Nothobranchius furzeri: one gene and its partners. The protein of the gene in region 7 interacts with the protein of the main gene of each other region in a biochemical or structural test. Links are inferred from orthologs where the notes say so. Each region holds a gene or a part of one and is shown on either strand. Other genes may lie near its edges. The genes, in order: chek1, abl1, eukaryotic translation initiation factor 4E-binding protein 1, rpa2, atr, rbbp8 and atm.

Evidence for each region.
Region 1: of the proteins of atm (region 7) and chek1, one has a biochemical effect on the other in vitro, tested with the Homo sapiens proteins (2 studies listed by BioGRID, with this or other methods). The link is inferred for Nothobranchius furzeri from reciprocal best matches to the Homo sapiens genes ATM and CHEK1.
Region 2: of the proteins of atm (region 7) and abl1, one has a biochemical effect on the other in vitro, tested with the Homo sapiens proteins (3 studies listed by BioGRID and IntAct, with this or other methods). The link is inferred for Nothobranchius furzeri from reciprocal best matches to the Homo sapiens genes ATM and ABL1.
Region 3: of the proteins of atm (region 7) and eukaryotic translation initiation factor 4E-binding protein 1, one has a biochemical effect on the other in vitro, tested with the Homo sapiens proteins (2 studies listed by BioGRID, with this or other methods). The link is inferred for Nothobranchius furzeri from reciprocal best matches to the Homo sapiens genes ATM and EIF4EBP1.
Region 4: of the proteins of atm (region 7) and rpa2, one has a biochemical effect on the other in vitro, tested with the Homo sapiens proteins (3 studies listed by BioGRID). The link is inferred for Nothobranchius furzeri from reciprocal best matches to the Homo sapiens genes ATM and RPA2.
Region 5: of the proteins of atm (region 7) and atr, one has a biochemical effect on the other in vitro, tested with the Homo sapiens proteins (2 studies listed by BioGRID, with this or other methods). The link is inferred for Nothobranchius furzeri from reciprocal best matches to the Homo sapiens genes ATM and ATR.
Region 6: of the proteins of atm (region 7) and rbbp8, one has a biochemical effect on the other in vitro, tested with the Homo sapiens proteins (4 studies listed by BioGRID, with this or other methods). The link is inferred for Nothobranchius furzeri from reciprocal best matches to the Homo sapiens genes ATM and RBBP8.

The regions. Positions count from the first base shown.
Region 1 is NC_091750.1:44,924,781-44,928,280, reverse strand, and holds the end of chek1 (serine/threonine-protein kinase Chk1), read left to right. Parts: intron 1-2,873; coding exon 2,874-2,975; intron 2,976-3,121; coding exon 3,122-3,211; 3' UTR 3,212-3,440; downstream 3,441-3,500. UniProt on the Homo sapiens protein: Serine/threonine-protein kinase which is required for checkpoint-mediated cell cycle arrest and activation of DNA repair in response to the presence of DNA damage or unreplicated DNA.
Region 2 is NC_091746.1:53,706,454-53,710,005, forward strand, and holds the end of abl1 (tyrosine-protein kinase ABL1), read left to right. Parts: intron 1-1,003; coding exon 1,004-2,616; 3' UTR 2,617-3,052; downstream 3,053-3,552. UniProt on the Homo sapiens protein: Non-receptor tyrosine-protein kinase that plays a role in many key processes linked to cell growth and survival such as cytoskeleton remodeling in response to extracellular stimuli, cell motility and adhesion, receptor endocytosis, autophagy, DNA damage response and apoptosis.
Region 3 is NC_091757.1:46,259,649-46,263,808, reverse strand, and holds the start of eukaryotic translation initiation factor 4E-binding protein 1, read left to right. Parts: upstream 1-1,360; 5' UTR 1,361-1,682; coding exon 1,683-1,818; intron 1,819-4,160. UniProt on the Homo sapiens protein: Repressor of translation initiation that regulates EIF4E activity by preventing its assembly into the eIF4F complex: hypophosphorylated form competes with EIF4G1/EIF4G3 and strongly binds to EIF4E, leading to repress translation.
Region 4 is NC_091745.1:71,988,068-71,991,096, reverse strand, and holds the end of rpa2 (replication protein A 32 kDa subunit), read right to left. Parts: intron 1,450-3,029; coding exon 1,324-1,449; intron 1,184-1,323; coding exon 1,089-1,183; intron 904-1,088; coding exon 816-903; 3' UTR 501-815; downstream 1-500. UniProt on the Homo sapiens protein: As part of the heterotrimeric replication protein A complex (RPA/RP-A), binds and stabilizes single-stranded DNA intermediates that form during DNA replication or upon DNA stress.
Region 5 is NC_091758.1:22,156,164-22,159,663, reverse strand, and holds part of atr (serine/threonine-protein kinase ATR), read right to left. Parts: intron 3,484-3,500; coding exon 3,313-3,483; intron 3,218-3,312; coding exon 3,054-3,217; intron 2,900-3,053; coding exon 2,747-2,899; intron 2,612-2,746; coding exon 2,413-2,611; intron 2,312-2,412; coding exon 2,055-2,311; intron 1,970-2,054; coding exon 1,773-1,969; intron 1,667-1,772; coding exon 1,566-1,666; intron 1,415-1,565; coding exon 1,243-1,414; intron 1-1,242. UniProt on the Homo sapiens protein: Serine/threonine protein kinase which activates checkpoint signaling upon genotoxic stresses such as ionizing radiation (IR), ultraviolet light (UV), or DNA replication stalling, thereby acting as a DNA damage sensor.
Region 6 is NC_091747.1:41,223,983-41,226,910, reverse strand, and holds the end of rbbp8 (DNA endonuclease RBBP8), read left to right. Parts: coding exon 1-93; intron 94-274; coding exon 275-345; intron 346-429; coding exon 430-497; intron 498-580; coding exon 581-830; intron 831-903; coding exon 904-1,063; intron 1,064-1,150; coding exon 1,151-1,239; intron 1,240-1,320; coding exon 1,321-1,438; intron 1,439-1,533; coding exon 1,534-1,668; intron 1,669-1,753; coding exon 1,754-1,778; intron 1,779-1,845; coding exon 1,846-1,933; intron 1,934-2,007; coding exon 2,008-2,149; intron 2,150-2,217; coding exon 2,218-2,315; 3' UTR 2,316-2,428; downstream 2,429-2,928. UniProt on the Homo sapiens protein: Endonuclease that cooperates with the MRE11-RAD50-NBN (MRN) complex in DNA-end resection, the first step of double-strand break (DSB) repair through the homologous recombination (HR) pathway.
Region 7 is NC_091753.1:29,145,777-29,149,276, reverse strand, and holds part of atm (serine-protein kinase ATM), read left to right. Parts: coding exon 1-107; intron 108-185; coding exon 186-297; intron 298-386; coding exon 387-557; intron 558-695; coding exon 696-871; intron 872-1,945; coding exon 1,946-2,189; intron 2,190-3,500.

The DNA of each region.
Region 1 (3,500 bases), on a different chromosome or scaffold from region 7:
ACTTTGTTGATCCAAACACTGCTGATCTCTCAACATAAATGATGGGCAGATTAAACAGTTCATGCCGATGCTTCTCCCACACAACGGGTGTTTGGATCTAACTTCTGCGTTTATTGCTCGGACTGTATCGCAAGATCTCGAAAATCCCGCGCATGCTTGTTTGCCCCCCTCAGGTCTCCGCACCGGAGCGGAGCCGTTGTAGAGTGGGTACCAGTAAAATTGAGTTCGGAAACGAGCGGCTGCGGAAGGCGGGGGCGGACCGGAGCGGAGCGGAGGTAGTGGAATTTGGGGGTAAGGCTCTGGATGTTGTGAGGTTGTGTTGGTTGATGCAGCTCTGTAGTATCGCATGGGCATGGGGGACAGTTCCACTGGATTGGCAGTCTGAGGGGACCGCAGAGTGTGTTCCAACCGTGGAGCACTGGACCAGCCTTACCCCCAAATTCCACTACCTCCGCTCCGCCCCGGTCCGCCCCCGCCTTCCGCAGCCGCTCGCTTCCGAACTCAAATTATACTATACCCGCTCTACAACGGCTCCGCTCCGGTGCGGAGACCTGAGGTGGGCAAACGAGCATGCGCGGGATTTTCGAGATCTTGCGATACAGTCCGAGCAATAAACGCGGAAGTTAGATCCAAACACCCGTTGTGTGGGAGAAGAATCGAAATGAACTCTTTAATCTGCCCATCATTTATGTTGAGAGGTCAGCAGTGTTTAGATCAACAAAGTGTGACTATTTTGATAGTGGAAACTGTATTTATGGCTTACTTTTGTGCATTTAAAGTTCAGCCGCCATTGATAGTTGTTAAAGGTTGTTAAACTTGTGCATATGAAACAAAAAACGCCTTTTGTTTATCGATTTATTGTGAAAAACGGAAGTTGTGCTTGCTCCTTTTCCTGTTGGGCAGTTGTGATTCCTGTCCATTGACTGCGGAGGTGCTTCGGCGTCCGGCAAAAATAGGATCGATTCATGCTGGACGCCGGAACAGAGGGCGGTGCACTGCCGGAGCACGGCCGCAGTAGTGGAATTGCTCTGATTGACTACAACGGGACCGACTTTGCTCCGGAGTTCGTGCCGGAGCGGAGCGGAGGTAGTGGAATTTGGGGGTTAGGGGTATCCTGGAGGGTGTGTGGGAGTTTACCCATCCAATCTACATGTGTTTTGTGGATTTGGAGAAGGTGTTTAACTGCGTCCTGTGGGGGGGTACTCCAGGAGTATGGGGTACCAGGCTCTCTTATACAGGCTGTTAGGCCCTTGTATGACCGGTGCCAGAGTTTGGTCCGCATTGCCGGCAGTAAGCCGAGCTCATTTCCAGTGAGAGTTGGACTCCGCCAAGGCTGCCCTTTGTCACCGATTCTGTTCATAACCTTTATGGACAGGATTTCTAGGCACAGCCAAGGTGTTGAGGGGATCTGTTTTGGTGGCCTAAGGATTGAGTCTCTGCTTTTTGCAGATGATGTGGTCCTTTTTGCTTCATCAGACCATGATCTCCAGCTTTCACTGGAGCGTTTTGCAGCCGAGTGTGAAGCGGCTGGGTTGGGGCTCAGAGTAGACTCGCTGCTCCTCCACGTCGAAAGGAGTCAGATGAGGTGGCTCGGGCTTCTGGTCAGGATGCCTCCCTGGTGAGGTTTTCTGGCACATCCAACCGAAAGAAGACCTAAAGGAAGACCTAAGACACGCTGGAGGGACTACGTCTCTCGGCTGGCCAGGGAACGCCTTGAGATTCCCTGAAGGAGCTGGCCCTAGTAGCTGGGAAGAGGGAAGTCTGGGCTTCTTGGCTTACGCTGCTACCCTCGCGACCCAACTCTGGATAAGTGGAGTCTGGTCGTGGGGGCATTGAATTGATAGATAGATGGATAATAGTTAGTACTTTACCTTCAGAATTTAAACTTTGGTTTTGCACTAAAAGATAAATAGTTATTTAATTTACTTAAGAAAATTGTGTCATAATTATTTCTCTAAAAGAAAGATGTTTGCTTAATTATAGTTCACTGTTTGCACAAAGAAAAATAGTCATTTTGTTTTATGTACTAAATAAAAAAACATGCAAGTAATTTTTTCTATTAAAATTAACCCTTAAAGTATAGATACCCCCAAAAAGTGCCATTCAGATACTGGTACTGTTATCAGAAAAAATCCAAACCCAGCCCTGGGTATCACACATGTTCATTTCAATAAGCTGACAACAAGGACCATTGTGTTTGCTTTAATGCTAAATATGCCTCAGCAGCTACTAGCTGCATCACAGTGTGGTGTGGGAACAGCACCAGGGATCCTAAATGCCTGCAGGGCATAGTTAAGACTTTCAAAGATTACCCGGACTCCACAACCCTCTCTGCAGAGTGTGTACCACAACTTTCTGTACAGTCTACACTTAAGATAGCATTTTTTATGTTTATTTAATCTTATCTATTTTATTCCTGCTTAGTTTGGCAGTTTGGGTGACGAGGTAAGAGTTTCATGGTGGCTGTAACAACATTTTCTTTTGCACAGAATAAAGATTCTAATCCTTGGATCTCGAATCCTTAACAAGTCAACAGCTTTGTTTGTTTGCAGACGTGGAGACATTGGTAACTTTGTCTGGTCCAGTTTTGGATAACGTAATGTGTGCGTGTTATTTATTTAATTTCTACATTTTCATTATGTGTATCACAAACGGGTCCATGAGTCCATGTGTAATTTGAAGCTCGTCAGTTCTGTTGGTTAACTTATTTCCATCACTTTATTATTTAATGTAAAACTCCAGATGTCTTTCATTTTGGTTTTATGGTTTCTGCTTCTAAAACGAATGATCAAAAACCAGGAAGTACAAAGACTACTGGTTCAGACCCGTTCCTTTAGTACGTTCTTGTTGATTAACAGATCTCTGCCTCTCAGGTGACTGTGAGCATGCTGGACAAACGTAACAACAAGCTCATCTTCAAAGTCCATCTACTAGAAATGAGCCAGCGAGTGCTGCTGGACTTCAGGCTGTCTAAGGTTGTTCTCTCAGAACTGTGTGCTGTTCTGCCTTTGAGTTTTTCCTTGAAACTGACGTGTGTGTGTGTGTGTGTGTGTGTGTGTGTGTGTGTGTGTGTGTGTGTGTGTGTGTGTGTGTGTGTGTGTGTGTGTGTGTGTGTTTTCAGGGTGACGGTTTGGAGTTCAAGCGCGTCTTTGTGAGGATAAAACACAAGCTTGCTGACATCGTCAGCACTCAGAAGGTTTTAGTTCCATGAGACGTTTTTACAAACAGCCCGTCTAAAAGTGGACTTGTTGTTCTGCTGACGTGTCGAAGGTGAATCGTGGTTTTAGTTTTGTTATTAGGGAAGCTCAAAGTAGGATATTTATCAGAGCAGAGTTGTGGTTGACATGGTTTTACTCAACCTTCCGTTGTGACCCAAGTGTTTGCTTTTTCTTTGTTGTGTTACAATCCAAAGTTGAATAAATTATTAAAACACCCCTTTATGTTGGATTTCAGTGATTAAATGATGTCAGAAGCATAAACAGTTTTTATTGTTGTTCAAA
Region 2 (3,552 bases), on a different chromosome or scaffold from region 7:
TGGGTAATTTTTTACCAGACCTTCACAGTTTTTTTGCGTTGCTCCATTTTACTGGGCCGAGCCGAAAGGACTGCTTTCTAAGCCATTCAGTGGGAAATAATTCTATCGGTAGACGTCACCAAACAGCTGGTATTTAGAAATTGGAAGGGTTTCTGGTGAAGCAGAATGGAAGAAAAAGAAAATAAGCCGCGTTGGTACTGCTTTAAAGTTGCTGTTTCTAGAGTCCCAATGCCAACAAGTCTGGCAACAGTTCCTCCACAACGCACCACTTTCTGCTGCTGTATGGTCTTTAGTAAGAGCACAATAAAAACTAGTGTTTCTTCTGTTTATTGATTGCAGCTTTTCATGTCAAACAAGAGCTCTCTGCCATCCCTAAACCAGTCGTTCCCAACCTGCGGTCCATGACTCCCCAAGGGGTTCCCCACAATTTTGTATGTGCTGCAGTTATGAGATTACCAGGATTATAGTTGTAAAAACTACATTTATAAAATCCAGATAACACACCCAATAGAGGCACCACTCTGTATATATTTGTAATTATTCACTTTAATTGTGTGCATGCACGTAGGAGTAAGGGTTGGGGGGCCCTGGCTTGTCTTGGACACAGGAAAGGGTGTTCTCGTGAAAAAAGGTTAGGAACCATTGCCCTGAACGATGTGACCTACGTACTTTGACAAAATCAAACTCCTTTAATGTTATAAATGTCTGTGGACGCCTTTTGCATCTAATCAGTGACGTCCCTCACCGCCAAAGCAGTTGTGTTATACTGATGTAATAGCTAAGTCCTAAAAGGGCTGGGAGGACCAGACCGAGCCATCATATTTTCCCTCTCTCAGAAATTTTGTACAATTTTTATAGTGGAGTTGTGGCTATAGAAGTGGTTTCAAATGTTTCATTTTCAAATGTCACATAAATTTTAGTAGTTTTCATTATTTTATGTATTTTTTATTGGATAACTTTTTCCTGTTTTTCTCACCTGCGACGTGTCTGTGGTGTTCCTCAGACCCAGTGGATCCGGAGGTGGCTGTTTCCTCACCAATGCTTCATAGGAAAGAGCACTCCATGCTGGACAACAACTTGAATGAAGACGACCGCTTGATGCCCAGAGACAAGACACGTGTCAGTAATTTCCTCAGCCTCATCAAGAAAAAGAAAAAGAGTGCACCAACTCCACCTGTACGCAGCTCCTCCTTCAGAGACGACTTCCACACCGACAGGAGAGTTGTGACTCCTGATCCTCAAGACAATGACAATTTCAACAACGGTGCATCTTTGTCACTTAATGACACATCCCCTAGCACTGAATCTTCAAAGTTTTTGGTTGCTATCAATAATGGTGCAGGAGGTAATGCTAACTACCCAGGAACTTCGTACTCCAGAAAGAAGGCAGCTTCTACAGCACCTGGTCCTGGGAGCAAGATGGCCATGACACCACCTAGTGAAGAGGAGTCCGTTTCTAATTCAAACCGGTTCCTCTTGCCTTCCAACATGTCCAATGGTCGAGGTGGTACTGAGTGGAAATCAGTCACTTTGCCACGAGATCTGGGCCAGCGCCACTTTCAGTCAGGCACTCTTGGAGGTAAACCAGCTCTCCCGGTAAAGAGGACCAATGAGCAGAAAGGAGAGAACACCCGGCGAATGGGCACCCTGACTCCTCCACCACGTCTGAACACTTCCTCAGAGGCCTCTTCTTCTCTCCTTGGAAAAGACACAGAACCCTGTTCTGGTCCCAGTTTCCAGGCATTGACACCAAAGGTGGTAAAGAGACCCGGTGTGCCCGGGCAGGAGAACTCCAGGATCGGTGCTGAAGTGTTACTCACTTTAGGAGGAGTTGAAGAGTGCAAAGCCCGCAGAGGCAAGCACATGGTAGAGTCCTCGTCTGTCAGGGGAAGAGGGAAGTTCCAGAAACCCAAACCAGCCCCACCTCCACCTCCCACTGGTGCCAAAACCAGTAAGATCGCCCGTAGCCCCACTCAAGAACTCCCCTCACCTTCGTCTTCCCCTTCGTCTTCCCCCTCAGACATCAAAATCAAGTACCTTCCTTCCATTTCAGATTCCCACCACACAGTTGCTGCTAGTGACCAAGCACGCTCGCCCACCAGTGAGGGATCCAAAAAGGCGCCCCTGAGCTCTACCTATAAACCGCTCAAACCCTCCACTTCATTGACCCTTTCTCCCTCCAGCTTGAGCCAGGGAGGCTTCTCTCTCACCCCCAACACCGATCAGAACTCAACCGCATTTGCTCGACGCTCTCTCCGCAAGACAGCGCCCCGCCAATCCTCCGAGCGCACACCAAACTCAGCCGTGACGCGTGACATGTTGCTGGATGGGGCAGAGCAGCTTTTCCTCGCCATCTCCCGCATGGAGGATCAAACTGGGAGCCACAGCGCCGTGCTGGAGACCGGCAAGAACCTGTCGAAGTACTGCACGAGCTATGTTGACTCCATTCAACATATGAGGAACAAGTTTGCTTTTCGAGAGGCCAACAACAAGCTTGAGACCAGCTTGCGTGAGCTTCAAATCTGCCCCTCTGCCACGGGGGGCTCTAGTGCTCAGCAGGACTTCAAAAAGCTGCTGTCCTCGATTAAGGAGATCACGGACATAGTTCAGAGGTAGCACCTTAAACGTCCAATGATCGAGACTATATGAACTTAAATTCCATTACTCCTTCTGTGTTGTGGCCAGTGAGGGGTGTGATGCATTTGAGAACAGCGCTGTAGGTTCGTTACAGTTGACTATTAATCCTGTGGTTACAATGAACTGAGTCAGCTGAAAATGTATGTGGATCTTTTTAGACAGTTGTATCTTTGAATGCACATCACGTAGGCCTTAATGAGGCTGGGGCCAATTCTCCATGTCACCAATCATCTTCCAATTGATGTCTTATGTATTCTATTTGATTTAACCCCTCCCACAAATCAGTACGATCATGAAAATGTCTGCTTTCATTCGTTTTTGTTGAGCTTCGACAATTACTATAAACACTTAACCTCATCGATGCATTTTAAGTTGTATTTTCGTATTGGGTTGTATGCGGATGAGATTGTGCAAGTGTGTTTTTAAGAGTGTTGGCAACCACGTGCCATAAAGTAATGGGAGCATTGGCTTAAGGTAGTTTTGAGCCTCCAGCCTTCCTTCACTATGTTGCTTTCCTGCACACTTGGGTAACAAACGGTGCCTGTAACACTACCAGCAGGCCTGCTTCAGCCTTCACACGTTCAGGTGCAAATATAAAGCTTTGGCATGCTTGAGAGTGGCTTTTGGTTCACGGAACGTAAATGTTTGCAATTCCACTAGAGAAAAAAAACAGCACGCCTCTTGGCTGTACCGACTGGCACAGGTGCATGATCTGCAATTTGGTGATCTGTTGAACCCTTTTCTTAGACTGGATCTTATTTTTTAATATATGCAAATGTTTGACGATACAGATTTCTCTCAAATAAAAGCCATCGGTAGCATAGCGTTGGATCGGGGCAACAAGGTCAACAGGCTGTTTTCCTGATAGGGTTTTATCAAAAATAAAGGCCTACAGTATGTAAAGACCTTCCACCC
Region 3 (4,160 bases), on a different chromosome or scaffold from region 7:
TCTGGATGCTAGAAAAGAGTCCAAGTTGGTGCAAAGCAGAGCGTGTTGTGGTTACACCAGTGAGACGAGGAGCCCTGCAATGGACTGCTGAAACATGCACCAAGTTCATGCAAAAATGTTAACTCTTGCAAAAACTAGAGAACACATGTATATTCCTTTAGAATGGATTGAAGACATTATTAATAGCATATTACTCGATACTAAGGAATGCAACTGCGCACATGCACAAAAAGTTTTTAATATAAAAATGGCTATATATATGAAACATACAAATATATATATTTACTTAGAATGCTATGCACCCCTGTCAACTGGGATTCCTGTTATGTTATGGATGTCCTTTTTGCATCATACAGCTGTAGCTACTAAGAGACTTTTAAGTTTGGGTAATGCCTGCAACCTGGGGATAAATAGGGGTTTTGTGGGTGTTTTAACTTATTTTGTTTGCTTTTTTATTGTCATGGAGAGTCAAACATAAAATATACATGTGAAAACCTTTTAATCCAATCAAAATCTGAGGGCATCTGTTGACAATTTACTCTGTACACCAGCTCAACATTTACAAAAATTAATAAAGAAATGAAACATCTTTGCGTATTGCGTGTAATTTTTTTCATGTCTTTAAATGACGTTTCTTGACTTTGAAGTGTGTTTTTTCCTGACTGACACAGTGAGTAGATCTTCGCTCGTTTAACCATCCTGCCAGGAGATGCATCAAGCTTTGGGGGAAGTCTGTTATAGACGTGCTGCAAAAAAGAAACATGAATTCAAAGAAATTCATGAAATCTGAATCTGATTTAAAAGCTTCTCTTTGTGTTATTAAAACTTGTGAAGTTATAGATCTAACATCTCAGAGCTAGGAATGTGGTCAGAATAAATAAAACAATTATGTAAGGGCTTTTAAAAGCAAATTGTATTGAAAATACATTAAAATGCCGAAGAAACACACACACACACACACACCTGAATAAATTCAATAATTATATTTGAGCAGAAGATGACAGCAGGATTTACTTACTGATTTTGCTCCTTTTAAATAAATCATCTGTCAACTTGACATGATTTAAAATCATTTCGGAGGCGGACTAGAATAAGGCAATCTTCTTGTTGAAAGCATAATAACGCAATATAACGTTCCTTAAAAGGTGAAAATCTGGAACAGTGTCTGCAGATTTTGTATTTAAGAAAATTTTCAAATAGAATGAGGTGAAAATAAATACATAGTTTTTTAAAAATAATAATAATAATTATTATTATTATTTTAATCTCTGTAGCCTAGTATGCACCAGTAGATGGCGGAATAAATTCGTTTAGTTTGCACCGAACAGCGTTCTCCCTACAGGGCTGCAGCAGCCTGTCTGTATGCCTTGATGGTCTGCCTGCGTATGTCTGTGTGTTGTTTTGTGTGCATGTGGAAACAGAGAAACGGGTGCTGCTGAGGTCCTTTTTCACCAAACATCCTCGACCCGTTTTGAGTGAGAGCGCGTGTGTTAATGTGGCTAACTTTAATCGCCATAGTTTGCACTCATGAAATCTAGATATTTATTTTTATTCATCAGAAGGCGACCGTTCTGCTGCTGAGCCAAATCTAACACTCCTCTGGCTTTGTTCTGTCAAACCCAGACGTTCTTCTTGTTTCATGTCATCCAGTTAGTTACTTTTAATTTTTTAGTTGAGAGAAGATGTCCACAGACTTTCAGAAGACAAATGCCAAGGCCATCCCGTCCACCAGGACAGTGGCCGTCAACGAAGCGGACCACATGCCACACGACTACTCCACTACTCCCGGGGGGACCCTTTTTAGCACCACACCGGGCGGTACGTTGTGTGTTTTTAACTCCACATTAACGTTTGTGTGCTTGGTCAAAAGGTCAGTGGCACGAGACCTGAATCCATTTAACAGCAGCGTTGTTGCGTGTGTTCATGCTAACTCCATGAGGTCGGCTTGGCTGCTGTCATCTGATAGCTAGCTATACTGAAGCTAACCGCTAACGCTAACTAGCGATCATTGAAAAAACAGAATAGTGAAAAACTAAAAAGTGGCTTTGAGGCATATGACCAATGTCGTTTTGTAAATGTAATTTTGCAACACAATAACTAATTTTCAATTAAGTGAAAATCGTTTTTAGGGTTTTACTTTGACTTCTGTACATCTTGTCACTGGGATCTGAGTCACGTGATCAAATCGGTGCTCTTGAGTTTATTGGCGGTGACCTAACCAGTTTAAAAGCCCATTACGACCACCTACTGGACTGGAATTTGGGATCAGATGCAGCAAAAGAAAAAAATCCAGTGGTGGGCCTAGAAAAACATGTACGGGGTGGCAGAAGGGGGCAAAATTTTGAGGATGGTAAAATGGAGCATAAATTACTATACTCTTTGGGCACACAAAAGCTTTTGAACTAAACTATCCATTAAAAATGTGTCTGTGAATTCCTATGCACTGAGCTGTACCAAGGTCAGCATAGATGCACTATATGGAAAGAAATAATAATAACAATAATGGATTGGATTTATACAGTGCTTTTCTTGGAACTCAAAGCGCATTCCATTAAAGTCCCATTAGTCATCATCACACGCTGGTGAAATGACATCTCCGTATTTGACCCATCCTCATGGGGAACGGTGAGCTGTAGCAGTGGCTGCACTCGGGAACTATTTGGTGGTTAAAGATGAGTGTCTAGCAGGGAGGCATTGGGTCCCATTTTTAACTCATTCACTGCCAATAGTCGTCATTGGAATTTTTTTACTGTGTGGGCATTGGAACGAGTCCCCGCGCCGAGAAGCAAACGTCTCAGCTCTGAAGCTGATCTTCATCCGCATACGTCACAGGTCACATGACCAGGAAGCAGAAAATCCATGTGTTAGGAGATCGGTTTGGGTTGTTCCTTTAAAAAAAAAAACATGAGGCGCGAACCGGAAAAGCGTCTGCCGATCACAATTCGACAACGAATTATGAAAGAATGGATAACGCTTGAAACACGCGGATTCTTCCTGATCTAAGAGGTGAGTCTCCTCTTTGTTTTGGTTGTTTTGGCGTCGACATCATCCTAGCGCGCAACGTTCTGTGACTCTTAAAAAACAGTAAAAATGGCGAGAAATGCTGGCAGTGAAGGTCTTCAGCGATCAGGAAATGGCTGGCAGTGAATGAGTTAAAGTCTTTGGGATAACCCGATGAACCACGATCTCCCAGTTCCAGTGCGGACACTCTTACCACTAGGCCACTCAGAAGGTTATATTGTTCACACTCTCACGTTCACACTGCCGGGGATGGTAAGCTACGATGTAGCCACAGCCACTCTGGAGTGGGCTGGCATTTTGTGCCACCACCAACACAATGTTTCACTGCAACAAGGTACTAAACTTTAGTTTTATTATTCACTCAAACACATTTCTTTCCCTGTTAATTCATCAGTATTTACATAACCATATATGTTTTTTTTATTTCAGGTCATTATTTTATCAGCTTGTGTCATGATCGGTGTAATCGGACATGCTACTTTCACATTCATAATGTCTGATTTGCCACAACTATTTCATGAATTATTGCTGCCTTCTTCTGAGGTGGCAAAACTTTCCTTTAGGGAGGCAGTTGCCACCCCAGTAGATCAGCCCCTGAATAAATCCAACAAAACTAGATTTTTTTTTAAATCTGACAGATTGTTTATTTTAAGAGTTTAATGAGGTCAGAGCTGTTACTGCTTTGCCAAAGAGGCTTCATTGTTTAACTGACATTGTGATTAAAACTAGGGATGCACCGATACCTCTTTTTTCCAAACCGATACGATACCGATACTTGGATCTGGGTACTTGCCGCTGCCGATTACTGATACCGATACTTCCACCACACAAAAAAATGCAATGATATGGAATACAGATTTTATTTTCTTCTCTGCTTTCAACAGGAAAAGACTGTGAGGTAAATAAAAAGTAAAATATATGAATGGAAATCATCACAAAACTAAAATATTAGGTGAACAGAAATGACAAGTTACAGTGAAGCCATTTTCAAGCAACTGCATTGGTATCGGTTCCTGGTATCGGTTAACTTTCACTGATACCGATACTGGTATCGGTACCGATGCCAGTATCGGTATCGGTGCATCCCTAATTAAAACAGACCTGTTATTTATTTATTTCAGATTTACGTTAATAACACA
Region 4 (3,029 bases), on a different chromosome or scaffold from region 7:
TCTCAAAACTTTTGGACACAGCTGTACTATTGGTTTTCAGCCCTTGTAGACAAAAGTTTTTTAAAGACCATGTAGTTTTTATTTATGCCGTGCAATACTAAGCAGTTAGTGGCGATGCACAGCAACTGCCACACCCATTAACACAGTGGCAAATATTTCTGATTTAAACTCAATATTACTAACAAACTGTATATTTATGCTGATGTCAAACTGTATATATGCAATAATCAGACACTCCCGAAAAAGGCTCATCTCCAACCACGTCAATCTACAGGAGTGCAACATTCTAGTTTTGACAAATAAACTTATGTATTTTTATCAAACCCGGGTTGTTTATATTTGTGCATTCTGTGATGTGAATTTGACACAAAATGTTAAGTTAATGTTGTGCATGCTCATATTTAAAATCAAATAAATTTGCTAAAATAAGTTGAAAAACTGATATTTGTAGTTGTGCATGTGGTTCTTTTTTTATATGTAGGAAAGAAGTAACTTCCAGGTAGATTTGTATAATTTTTAATTTTTATTATGAGAAAAGCTGAATTACAAAGATGGGTGAAACAAAATTATTGTAAATCTTTAAAATGACAAAACAGGAGAAGGGATACTTACAAAGAAACAGGAATAATTGCTATCAGAGCCATAAGTGAGAAACTTGAACAAGAAGTGACCTCAGATAATACAGGATGTGGGAACCAAAAGTCCCATTAGTACCTGAATGTCAAACATTCAGAGTGTGTCTGTTAACACTTTAATCGTTTCATCTCTGAGTCAGGGGACTTTTACTAATAAGTTATTTAAATCCTCAAAGACGACTACTCATCATTGTCAGTGGATTTGTAGTGGTCCTCGTCGATGGTAGAGAAGATGTGACCTTCGTTGCTCAGAAACTCCACGGCTTGTCTGGAACGGCACAAATAACACTGTCAAGATGTTTTTAAACTGATAAAGCATCACAAAGCAGAACCTAAAAAGTTCACACGAACGGCATAAGAACGATCTTGTTCAGACGGAGTCATCGTAAAACCGCAGAGTGAATTTTATGATGGTGAAGAATTGTGCAGCACCCAAAGCTGAGCGTGTCTTACTTGATGACAGGAAGACTGATGCCGCTGAGTCTGTGCCTCAGATCGTGCACGCTGATGCCCTGTGGGTCTGGGCAGCCTCTGATTAAACTCAGCACCTTGAGAAAAACAATAAAATATTCACGTCATCAACACAAGCCCTCAATATGTAAAAAAAACAGACATCATTTACAAAATTAATATTTCCAGGAGGGTGAAAAGAAGACATTTTAGAGTACACCTCTTAACAGTTATTTACCTGATTCTGATTTGCGCTTAGCCCATTAATGGCCACGTGGTTAACAGCCGAGCGGCTTTCTGCTACGATTGCTGGGGTTTGGTGAGACATGGAGCTGTTGCTGCTCATCCCTCCAGCAGCAGACGGCTGAAAGAGAAAAGCTCAAATGTGATGCTTGCCTTCATAAACGCACCCAGAAAAGAAAAATAAATAAATAAATAAAGCGTCTTTAATAAGAAAATACAAACTAAGAATTAGTAGCTGAAACTTTATAAACAGAAAAATTAAAAATATATATAGGCTACATATGCTTATATATTTGGAGACTTGGGGTTGTGTGCTACAACACAGGAAAGGCAACTTTAAGTTTTTCACACTCAATGTGGTTCACTTCCTGTCTGGGTAAATCACCTTAGTAACTCATGCTGAAAACCAAACCTACTGCTGAGCAGAATGAATTAAAAAATAACCACCAAGTCCTCCATTAATGCGTCCAATAAGGGCAACACTGGTGCACACGGTCTATTCTCCTGTCCTCCGTGTCCCGGACGAACGAAAGAGTGAAACATGTTTACTAAACTCAGGGTATCTGCAGGTTTAAGGGAGTCAAATTTAAGACTTTTTAAGGCCACTTTGACCAAATTTAAGCTATTTTTTAAATTAAATTTAGGCTATAATTTCCAGCTGTTGCCTGGAACCGGTGCTAACCACGTCGTGAACGTGGGATTAGCCATACAGTTACCATTAATGTTGCACTTCCCCATGGCGCAAACTCCCACTAGCGTGCTCATCTAAAAATAGCCCCATTTCACAACCAAACGAATGTGTACGGTTCCGCTTACGCCAATATCATACACAAAAAATGCTGAACTAACTAGAAGTTCACGAAAATTTTATAGAAATAAAATAATCTCGTTTATTGGGTCTTCGGGAATTTAAGACCTATGGAAACTATTTAAGGATTATTTGTCATTTTTAAGGATTTTTAAGGCCTTAAATTTGGAAAAGCAAATTTAAGACTTTTTAAGGACCTGCAGATACCCTGTAAACTGGATCTAACTGGTTCCTGCATGTTTCTATCTATCAATAGTTTTAAAGACTAATAAAATGAATTAATGGAAAACATAAAAGTAGCCTTTTATAGTCCGCTTCAGTGAATCTAACATAATCTCACTCGTCTTCTTTAAAGCAGAAATTAAACAGTTTGAAAGAACGAGGCTGAAATTTTCTCTAAAATTCTTCAATATCAGCAAAAAATCTGCATGAAATACAGACTTGAAAACTTTTTTATTCACTAACATTTCAGAACATCTGTTCATTCTTTACAGACTCGCTAGTTTTTATTTCAGTTTTTTAAATTAGGGTTCCTTCCAGTCTCCAACTGGTCATGTGATCTGAATCTGCAGATCTCTGAACTACTTGTGACAAAAAGAAAAACCTCGCCATCTCCTCGTGTTCTGGTAATCTACATGAGGAGGAGTTACTGTATGGAGAAAATCTGCTTCCATGTCTGCATAAAGATGAAAAGTTGCCATTTCTTGTAGAAACAAAACTATGAAACAGTTTTAGAAGGAAGAATATAAATGAGCAAATTTGAACTTTTCAACTTGACCAAACAGCAGTGATGTGAAACTGCAAACATCTTAATTATAGAATATGTTGCATTAAAAAAAATTTTTTTTTTTTGCAATTTTCTGTGAAACTTAGAGACGGGTTATGGAAAATAA
Region 5 (3,500 bases), on a different chromosome or scaffold from region 7:
AGTCAGCTGATGGTAAAATCACTGTATGATAAATATCTAAATTAATATCTATCTTAGAATAAAAAAGAATAAGTACGTGTTTTAGGGTTGTCATGGTAACCGGTGTAGTGGTAAACCCCAGTATAAAAGTTGACAATAATAATAACCGTCTTGTTTTTAAAAAAACTATATTATCTCGGTGGATTACCGTGGCTGCGGTGTAGGTGTGGTGACCCTTACCAGCCACCGTATCATCTGCTGAAGTTGCCGGCGGCACATGCGCGCTTTGTTGTTTACAACCAAAACTTTCTTGAAGCTAAAACTGAAATAATGGCCAAAGGAGGAGACGGCAGCGCTCAGGAGGACATTTATTATCCCTCAAAGAAGACAAAGTGGGAAGTACGGGCATATTTTGGATATTTGAAGAACGCCGAGGGACAGTTGATAGTTGATATCCTGTTTGCAGCAGGTGCAGAAAAAGTGTCTGTGAAAGGCAGCAACGCTTCAAATCTCATGACACATCTGCGTGACCATCACCCACAACTCTACAGTCAACGCAAGGCAAGCTAACGTTAGCGTTTTAGCTAAAATGCGTGATCCGAGGATTTGGGTTGAGGGAGAAAGCAACGAGTCGCTATATAAAGCAGCCGCACCGCCGCTACCTGCCTTATAAACCGTGTCACAGACACCCCCATGTTGAAATGACGCTATGCATTACGGGGCTCCCAGGGGCAGATAAGAGTTGGTCTCTCTCAGAGAATAATTATGAATTTAACAATGATTACTGCCTGATGACATTTTCCCACATCTGCAAAGCTCACTGGAAGGACACAAACCGAGGACAATATATTCCTGATATAGGGTTTATTACTCAAGTAAGGGTAAAAAAGTATCTGATTAGAAGGCTACTTGAGTACTGAGTATCATCTGATCTAATATTTTAAAATGATGACATCAAACAGACAAAAAATAAGAAGTTATGGGCAAATCTTGGTATTTTAAAGACTAAAGGGGAAAAATGTAAACAAATAAACAACATAATTACAAAATAACACATTTTAGGCAAATTTTAGACACAAACTGAGGACAATATTTTCCTGACGTACAGGGTTTATTTAATTGTGTGAAAATGTAGCACGTTTAAAAAAAATACCGCGATAATACCGAAAACCGTGATAATTTTGGTCACAATAACCGTGAGGTTACATTTTCACACCGTGACAACCCTAACGTGTTTACAGGCCTTTTTTGTCAAATATGTACCTGGCAGATGGGGTTCTTGTATTGACTGAAAAGCGTCTGCAGTTTCAGACCTTTGGCAGCAGCCAGCGCACTGATCTGAGTGTACGCAGCCACAGACACTGAGGACGACTTGGACAGAAGACAGTGGAGGAGACGTAGCAGACAAAAGGACACCAAACTACCCTGAGAGGCTCTAACAAGAGAGGACAGAGAGGGACGATGGATACACGAGAACATCATTTCTCTTTCTGCTGAAAACTAAATTCATTAAGAATATCAGCAAATTTGAATTGCTTCTATGTTACTCAAAGATTAAATGAAACAAGAGAAAAGTGCATTTATACCTGCCAATCTCTCCGGTGGTGAGGATGAGAGTGTTTCGTAGATCATCATCTCTGTTGACTTTAGCGTTGTTGAACGCCTCCTTAAGACGTGCAACCAGAAGCTGAATGAGCAAAAAACAATAATATATGATTAAAAACGCCATTATCCCCAAAATACTCAAACCAAACCAACCATCAACAGTTTTTTTCTATTAGAAAATGTCGTACCTCATTCAAAACGCCATGCTCTGAGTTTTTGTTGGTCTCTGTCAACAGAAAGCGCACAGATTGGCCGAAGCGTGTTCTAACTGCAGGATCCGAATCCTCCATGAGGCCAATCAGGGCACAGAGAACTGCTCGGGAATCACCGTCTCCACCAGTCAGGTTCACATGTTGGCAGAGATGAGGCAGAGCTTCCAGAAACGCTGGTGAAGCAAAGGAAGCAGTGAGGCAAAGGCTTCCTAATGACAATGACACAAATCAACTAAACTGAAGAAGAACTCAAAGCACCTTGTTTAACACGACTTGGACATTGTGGTCTGAGTAAAGGGAGAAAAGGTCTAATGATAGAAGCCTTGAGAGATGCTTTTTCTTTCCCAGCATGCTCTGCTGCAAGGCTGCAGCAGAGACAGAGTATTTTAGGAGGACACGGGGACTCCACGCGGATGTCACAAAGCTCGGAGAGTCCTGAGGAGATGCAGCTGAGCTGACCAACAATCCTGGCGAGCTCCATCTTCACCTGCTCTGATGTGTCTTCCAGCATGGGCCTGAAACACCCAAGATGCAACACAAAACAAGACAGCAGCAATAAGCAAAAATGACAAAAACACTACAAGCTCATGAATGCCTGCAGAGAGGTTTTACACACAGCAGCGTCGTGTTAATCAGGTCATCCTGGGAGTCTCCCAGGTGGTGAAGGAGAACCGGGAAGACCTTGACAGCTGCAGCTCTCGGTGCCTCATTCTGACTCTGCAGCATGTTGCTGAAGACACACACACGCCACTTATCACACACACCGTGGTGCAGAAAGGCCAGCAGTGACACACAATCTGCCTGGACTTCAGGTGCTGAAAAGTCACAGAGTTTGATGTTAAATCAATTTGAAACTCACTCAGCTACGCAATATGTTTCTGAAGGAAAAAATGGTAATAAATTAGTATTTATCACCAGAATGTAAAGCAAGACTTGTCACGATTCCTCACCGTAACAGAAGCTGAGTCTCTGAGCCAAGGTGGGGAGCCAGGAGGGAAATCTTGAACTCTTAAAGACGGATGAAGACTTGTTCTCACACACCCATGGAAGAGACAGCAGAGCACACACATGCCGCTGGAGCTCATCCTCCACCTGGCTGCTCACTGCACAAGTATAAAAACATGATCACCACCATGCTGTTGTGATTACATTAATTCTTGACTTGATTGGTGTCAGAAATTTTACAGTAAACACGAAAACGATGGAAATAGCAACCCGAATTTAGACCTCCAGAGCTGCTTCTGTTTGCGTCCTTACATGTTAAGAAGAGAACAGAGTCAAGGATGCTGACAGTTGCCCGGAAAGCAGCATGAAAATAGTCCTGATCAGACACAGGTGGAGAGGCTCCTTCTAACACAGACTGGCAGCTCTTCAACATCCTGCCCAGAGTCCCTGGGGACAGCCAGGCCAAACGGAGTGAACTGTAGGGAAAGAGATCACAATCTGACATTGATCTTTGCAAAAAATCATCATCAGCAAGACTGGTATCAGTATTTAAGAGACATAAGTGTATTACCTGATGGGAGAGGAGCAGCAGGCTGCCAGGCGGAGGATGAGAGTTAGACCCTGCAGTGCAAACAGCACCTGTGTGCTCTGAGCTTCAGCAGAGTCCAAAAGTGTGAGCAATTCCTCAAGACGAGCGTTCAACACGGACCAAACCTCACCCTGAACCTGCATGGCCAGCTCACTACGGACATATAAACA
Region 6 (2,928 bases), on a different chromosome or scaffold from region 7:
AAAACAAAAAAGCTGCTAGAGATGGAAGGAATCCCAGGAAAACAGAAGTGCTGGTGCCCAACACTTGTGAACTGGATGCACCCCAGACATCCAGTAAGATGTCTTTTCTAATACAAGTTAATCAAAACAAGAATAATCTTTTTTTTTTTTTTACATTTAATATAACTTTATTTATATTCCTTTAGATCAGAAACAATCTATTTATGTCCACTTCTCCTGGTTTAGTTCTATTATCAGACAGAAGTTGACCTGTCTGGTGTCTGTCTCTTTCCAGATGATGTGAATGAAGGTGTGCTGGAAGCTATCCCAGATACCTGTGGCTTTGAACTTGCTAACAATCTCATTGTAAGTAAAATAGTTTAGGAACCAATCACTGATACATAATCGTACAATAATGACATTTTTATGTTTAAAACATTTTGCTCCCAGGTAAAGGAGACGGCTCCAGATCATCAACGTGCCTCTAGAAGTTCCTGGAAGCACAATGCTCATTTAAAGTAAGACCAACTGCAGCCGGCCTGCATTTATCTGACTATGCGCTAAAAAACTCCTCCCTGCTGGTTTGTTTCTCCTGTTTAAGGCCCTACGAGCGCTCCTCTGTGTCCACACTGACCCACAGTCCAGACTCCACCACGGAGAGGTCCCTGTCTGTCCTCCCTCCTGTCAAACGCTTTTTAGAAGAAGGCTCGGTCTGCAGCTCAAAACACAAAAAGGACGAAAGTGTTTCACAGAGACTCTGCGAAGCAGGAATCCAGGGAGGGGGCAAACATGAGCATCCCAGAGACGTCAACCAAACAGCGACTTCTGTTTGTGAGCCACCAGTTAATAAGGCATGACCAAACAGGGAGCTCATCTGTTAAGCCATGATTTAAAGCAGGTTTTTATAAGTGTTTTATTTTCCAGGGCCAGTCAGCAGAACACATTGGGACCAGTCAGAAAGCTAGAGCTCCTGGTTTCAGTTCTGATTTCAAGAAGCCGCCGAGTAAATCTAAGTCAGAAACCGATGGGAAGAAAAAAACGCCTCTGCAGGATCAGGATGCTTCACACAAACAACCAAAAGATGGTGAAATCCTATCATTTACGGTCCTTATCTCATCCTGTTGGATTTCAAACTCTTCACTCCTTAAACTCGACTTGTCTGGGTTCTCAGTCGACGAGCAGCTCACAGTGGAGCCGGCGTGGAGCATCGATCCTGCACTGGCTCTGTCCGTGTACAACAGCGAGCAGAGGAGAGACGAGGTGCAGCCTCTGGGTCGTTTGGCTTTTTTTATGTGTAGATGTTTGGGTTGTTTTATTGGCTTAAAAGCTTTTGTGTTTTAGGAAATAGAAGAACAGCGGCATCACAGAGACCTGGCAGACACGGACTGCACTTGGGTCAGCCACAGCATGCTGCAGCGGCGAGGAGGAGACGGTCCGAGCAGAGGAGACACGAAGTCTGGTGAAAATAACCGTCAAGTCTTTAAATAACCACAGTCAGGTGTTGGATTATAATCCGTTAACACAAGATGGTGGTCTGGTCTGTTCGCTTCTCAGGACTCGGCCAGAAGGCAAACGACAGTTTGGATATGATGTTTGACACAACAGCTTATGGGGAGTATAAGTCCCAGTTAGACCGGAGCAGGCCTGATGAAGAGGATGAAGGGCAAGATGAAGAGGAGGAACCGCATGGTAGAGATTGATTTTGAACACCTACATTATTTCACTGATATTCTGAGTTTGACCTTCATCTCCTGATTGGTTTCCTTTCATTTAGACGAAGATCCTCGATCCAGATCTGGGTAAGGACCATCACTCTGCACCTCGTTTATCCGATCGTCACCCGTCTCACGGTTTTCTCTGCTTTAGACGGCCAACATTTAAACACGTGGCAGTAATCCGCAAGAAGGACGAGAGAAGAAAACTGAAGGGCACCACCTGTAAAGAATGTGACGTTGTGAGTGTGTAGAGCCTGAAGCCGGTGCGTGTTTATTCCTGGGTGCTGTTGACACGGTTGTGGCTTCCTTTTAGTACTACGCTCATCTGCCAGAGGAGGAGAAACAGAAAAAGCTGTCTGCCTGCTCCAGACACCGATATCTGCACATTCCTCCGTGTACTCCTGAAAACTTCTGGGAAGTGGGATTTCCATCGACACAGACGTGTGTGGAGCGAGGTAATGGAACGCTTCTTGTTTCGTCTAATGGTGGTTTTACTAGAGCTTTATAATATTCTGTGTTACAGGTTACATCAAGGAAGAGACGAACCCCCAGGCTCGTTCACGGAGACGACAACCGTTTAATGTTTTATTCTCTCCAAAGCAACGGCAGCAGCAGACCTGAAACATCCCTCACCGATTAGTTCTAATTATTCCCTTAAATCTCTATAAAACCCTGAACTCTTGCAGAGTTCAAACATTGACACTGTCTAATAAAAATAACTTATAAAAACCTGATGCTGACCAAGAACCTGTCTTCATCATCTCCTAGGTTTTATATACAGGGTATCCGCGGGTCCTTAAAAAGTCTTAAACTTGCTTTTCCAAATTTAAGGCCTTAAAAATCCTTAAAAATGACAAATAATCCTTAAATAGTTTCCGAAGGTCTAAAATTACCCAAGACCCAATAAACAAGATTCTTTTATTTCTATAAAAATTTCGTGAATTTCTAGTTAGTGTTCAGCATTTTTGTGCACGATGTTGGCGTAAGCGGAACCGTACACATTCAGTTGGCTGGGAAAGGGGGCTCTTTTTAGATGAGCACATTAGCTGATTAAGCTAGCGGGAACTTGCGCCATGGGGAATTGCAAGTTTAATGGTAGCTGGATGGCTAATCCCACGTTCGTGACGTGGTTGGCACCGGTTCCAGGCAATAGCTGGAAATTATAGCTTAAATGTAATTTTAAAAAATTGCTTAAATTTGGTCAAAGTGGCCTTAAAAAGTCTTAAATTTGGCT
Region 7 (3,500 bases):
TGGGCCATCCTGACTCTCGGAGACGACCCCGTGTCTTCTGCTCTTCCATCCCACCTGGCAGACGCCCACCACCGAGTCCGTATGCTGGTGGCCGTGTCGCTGGAGAGGTGGGTTCAGCCAGTTCTTTTTTATTGTTCTAGTTTTCTTACATTAACACTCGTGTACCCGTCCTCCTCTATATTCAGACTGTTTCTGGATATGAGACGGAAGGATAAGAAGACGATGCTGCCACTAAAACTCCAACAAGCAGCGTTTGAGAACATTTATCTGAAGGCTCAGGAGGGCATGAAGTTCCCGGTAGGGTCCAGCGGATCATGTTGCAACTTCCTGGTCCTTTTATACTCCCTGATGCATTCTGTCCGCGTGTGTCTGGTGCGGTTTTACAGAGAAGCAGCTCATCGGAGGACCAGCGGGATGAAACGTTCAACCGCGAAGCCGCCCTGCTGAAGAGTTTATCTGTTGTTCTGTGCTGTAGCCCAGTGTGTGAAAAACAGAGTCTGTTTGCGCTCTTCCAGTCCTATAAGGAGAACAACATTGAGGAAGAGCTCATCAAAAAGGTAGAAAGTCACGTTTTCACATAGAAATTGTCAGAATAGTCAATTAAAATCTTCACTTTTCCTTTTTCCTGATAAAATATTCAGGTATCAATGCCATGGAAGAGGTTAATTGTGTTTGTGCTTCTCTGATTTTTGCAGATGTTGAGCAGTGTGTCCAAAGTTCTGGGCTACAAGAGCGTAAAGGCATTCATCAGCTCTCACCTGTTCTACCTGGTGGCTGAGTGGCTCGCACAGAGACAGTCAGACGACCGCTACACTCTGGGATCGTTCCCCTACAGTCTGCTGGACCATCACTCGGTCAAAGATTTCTACAGGTCATTTATTATTCTAGCATTTTTGTTCAGTTTTTGTCTGATGGGACAGCAGCAGCTCAGGAGGTAGAGCGGGTTGTCCAGTAATCGGAAGGTTGCAGGTTAGATCCCGGCTCCGACCAGAGAATGCTGCTGTTGTGTCATTGGGCAAGACACTTAACCTGCCTTGTCTGCTGGTGGTGGTCGGAGGGACCGGTGGTGCCAGTGTTTGGCAGCATCGCCTCTGTCAGTGCGCCCCAGGGCAGCTGTGGCTACATCGTAGCTCATTCCCACCAGTGTGTGTGTGTGTGTGTGTGTGTGTGTGTGTGTGTGTGTGTGTGTGTGTGTGTGTGTGTGTGTGTGTGTGAATTGGTGAATGACTGATTGTGCTGTGAAGCGCCTTGGGGGGGGGGGGTTGGACAACCCTAAGAAATCACTATATAAATACAGACCATTTACAATTTATGTTTGAATTTTTCAGTCAGTATTATTATTAGCATTATTGTATTCATATTTATCCGTTATAATTTACAACATATATTCTGTATATGTATGTAGTTAAATTGTTCTCTTTTTATTAGTTAGTTATTTTTTTATTATTGGTTTTTATTATCTTATTTGTGTGTATACATCAGAATTTTATTTATTTATATGTTTTTATATCTTTTTATTTGTTGTTTTGATCTATTTTCATAAAATAAACATGTTTACAAATATGAAAAGATTTATAGTTGTTAACATATTTTGTTTATTTTAATATTTTGTTATTATTGTTTTTATTATTTGAATACATACATTTATGTTATATATTTATTTTTGTCGTAATGTTCTTCATATCTATAGACTACTTCTATTGTGTTTTATTTAACTTTTCATTTATTTATCAACAATCAAAGATGTCTACAAGTCATTTTGTACAATAGAATAGAATAGACAAGACTTTATTAATCCCACGGTGGGGAAGTTCACTCCTTACAGCAGCAAATACACTTAGAGAAAAGGAATAAGAACGATAATACACACATTTTCCTGTATTTCTGGTAAGAATGTTAGGAATACAAGAAGACCTGAAAACCCCTCTGTTCTGGATCCTTTTAGCTCCTCCTACCAGGTGCTGATCCCACACCTGGTCTTCCTGGACGACTTTGAGCAGGTGAAGTCCATCGGCAGGTGCCTGGAGAAGGACTGGAAGCTCTTACTGGCGGACTGCTTCCCTAAAATCATGGTCAACATCCTGCCGTACTTTGCGCTGCCGGGTCAGAACTCTGAAGTAGCGCAGCAGAGAGAGAAGGCCCACCGCGTGTACGACCTCCTGAAAGACAGCAGCTGTCTGGGCAAACAGGTAAAGGCCACCTGCAGCACACTCTGACCTCACAACTATTGGGTTTGTGTCGGAACTTCACATTCCGAGTTTGTGGACTGTGTGTGGCTCAAATAATAAGGAAAACTGTATAATTTGTGTCTTGAGGGATTCCTAATACTTGTTTTATTATAAGAGCTAATTATCCCAGCATGTGACTATTTCTCCTGGCAGGGGCGCAGATAGGATTTTCAAACTGGGGGGGGGGGGACAAAGTTCCAGTGTACCCTCCCCCACACACACACCCACACACACACACACACACGCACGTACACGTACACATACACAAACTATTGCAAGCGCCTTAACTAGAGCTCAGTCAGTTTGTGTAATGTCCTCCAACGGTTTACGTAAAACCTAACTTTTATATACGTGTTTGAAGCCATTGTGCAGTGGAACGCTGGCAACAAAGCTCTGCCTGATCAACACTATAAATGATAAATGATCTGCACTTGTGTAGCGCCTCTCAGAGTAAGGACTCCAAAGTGCTTTACACTACAGTGTATCATTCATCCATTCACACACACATTCACACACTGATGGTGGTGAGCTACGATGTAGCCACAGCTGCCCTGGGGCGCACTGACAGAGGCGCCCCACTATTTAATTCAGTCATTTGTTATTCTTCCAATCAAGTACTAACCAAAACCTCATGCTTTATGCAAAACATTAAATGATTTTCAGCATACCAATCTTTACAGAAAACATAAAAGCCCTATAAAACTGCACATAAAATATATTTAAAAAACGAAATTCACTTATCACTTAGAGCAGTAGTTCCCTAACTTTTCAGCCTGACCAACAGATGTTCCTTCGTATTTTTACGTTGTTTATAAATTTTCATTATATTTGGAAAGGTTTTATTTATATATAAATATGTAAATCTCTTTTAAAATTTTATGTTTTACTTTTTTATGATTATGTGGCACACTTGACTTCCACACATAACGCATTGGCATCTGCCCCTTTTTACGGCATTTCTTTCACATCATCGCTACATCTGTCACGTTTGCGGCGTTTTTACCATCATTTCTACATCCATCACGTCCATCAAACCCAACATTTGGAGCTTGTAAACTCCACACACCTCTCGTGCAGCACCAGCTGTCTGATGCTGCAGCAGCGTCAATCATCCCGGCTGGATGAGTGAATTTCTTCATCAGAGTCAGTAATCTGCTTCATAATCAGAGTCGGTCATTACCAGACAAAGTGATCAGTCAACTAAGACCAGACCTGCCGGCAATTATACGTTTTATCTCATATTTGCGCTCTTCATGTTGTGTGCATCTCCTC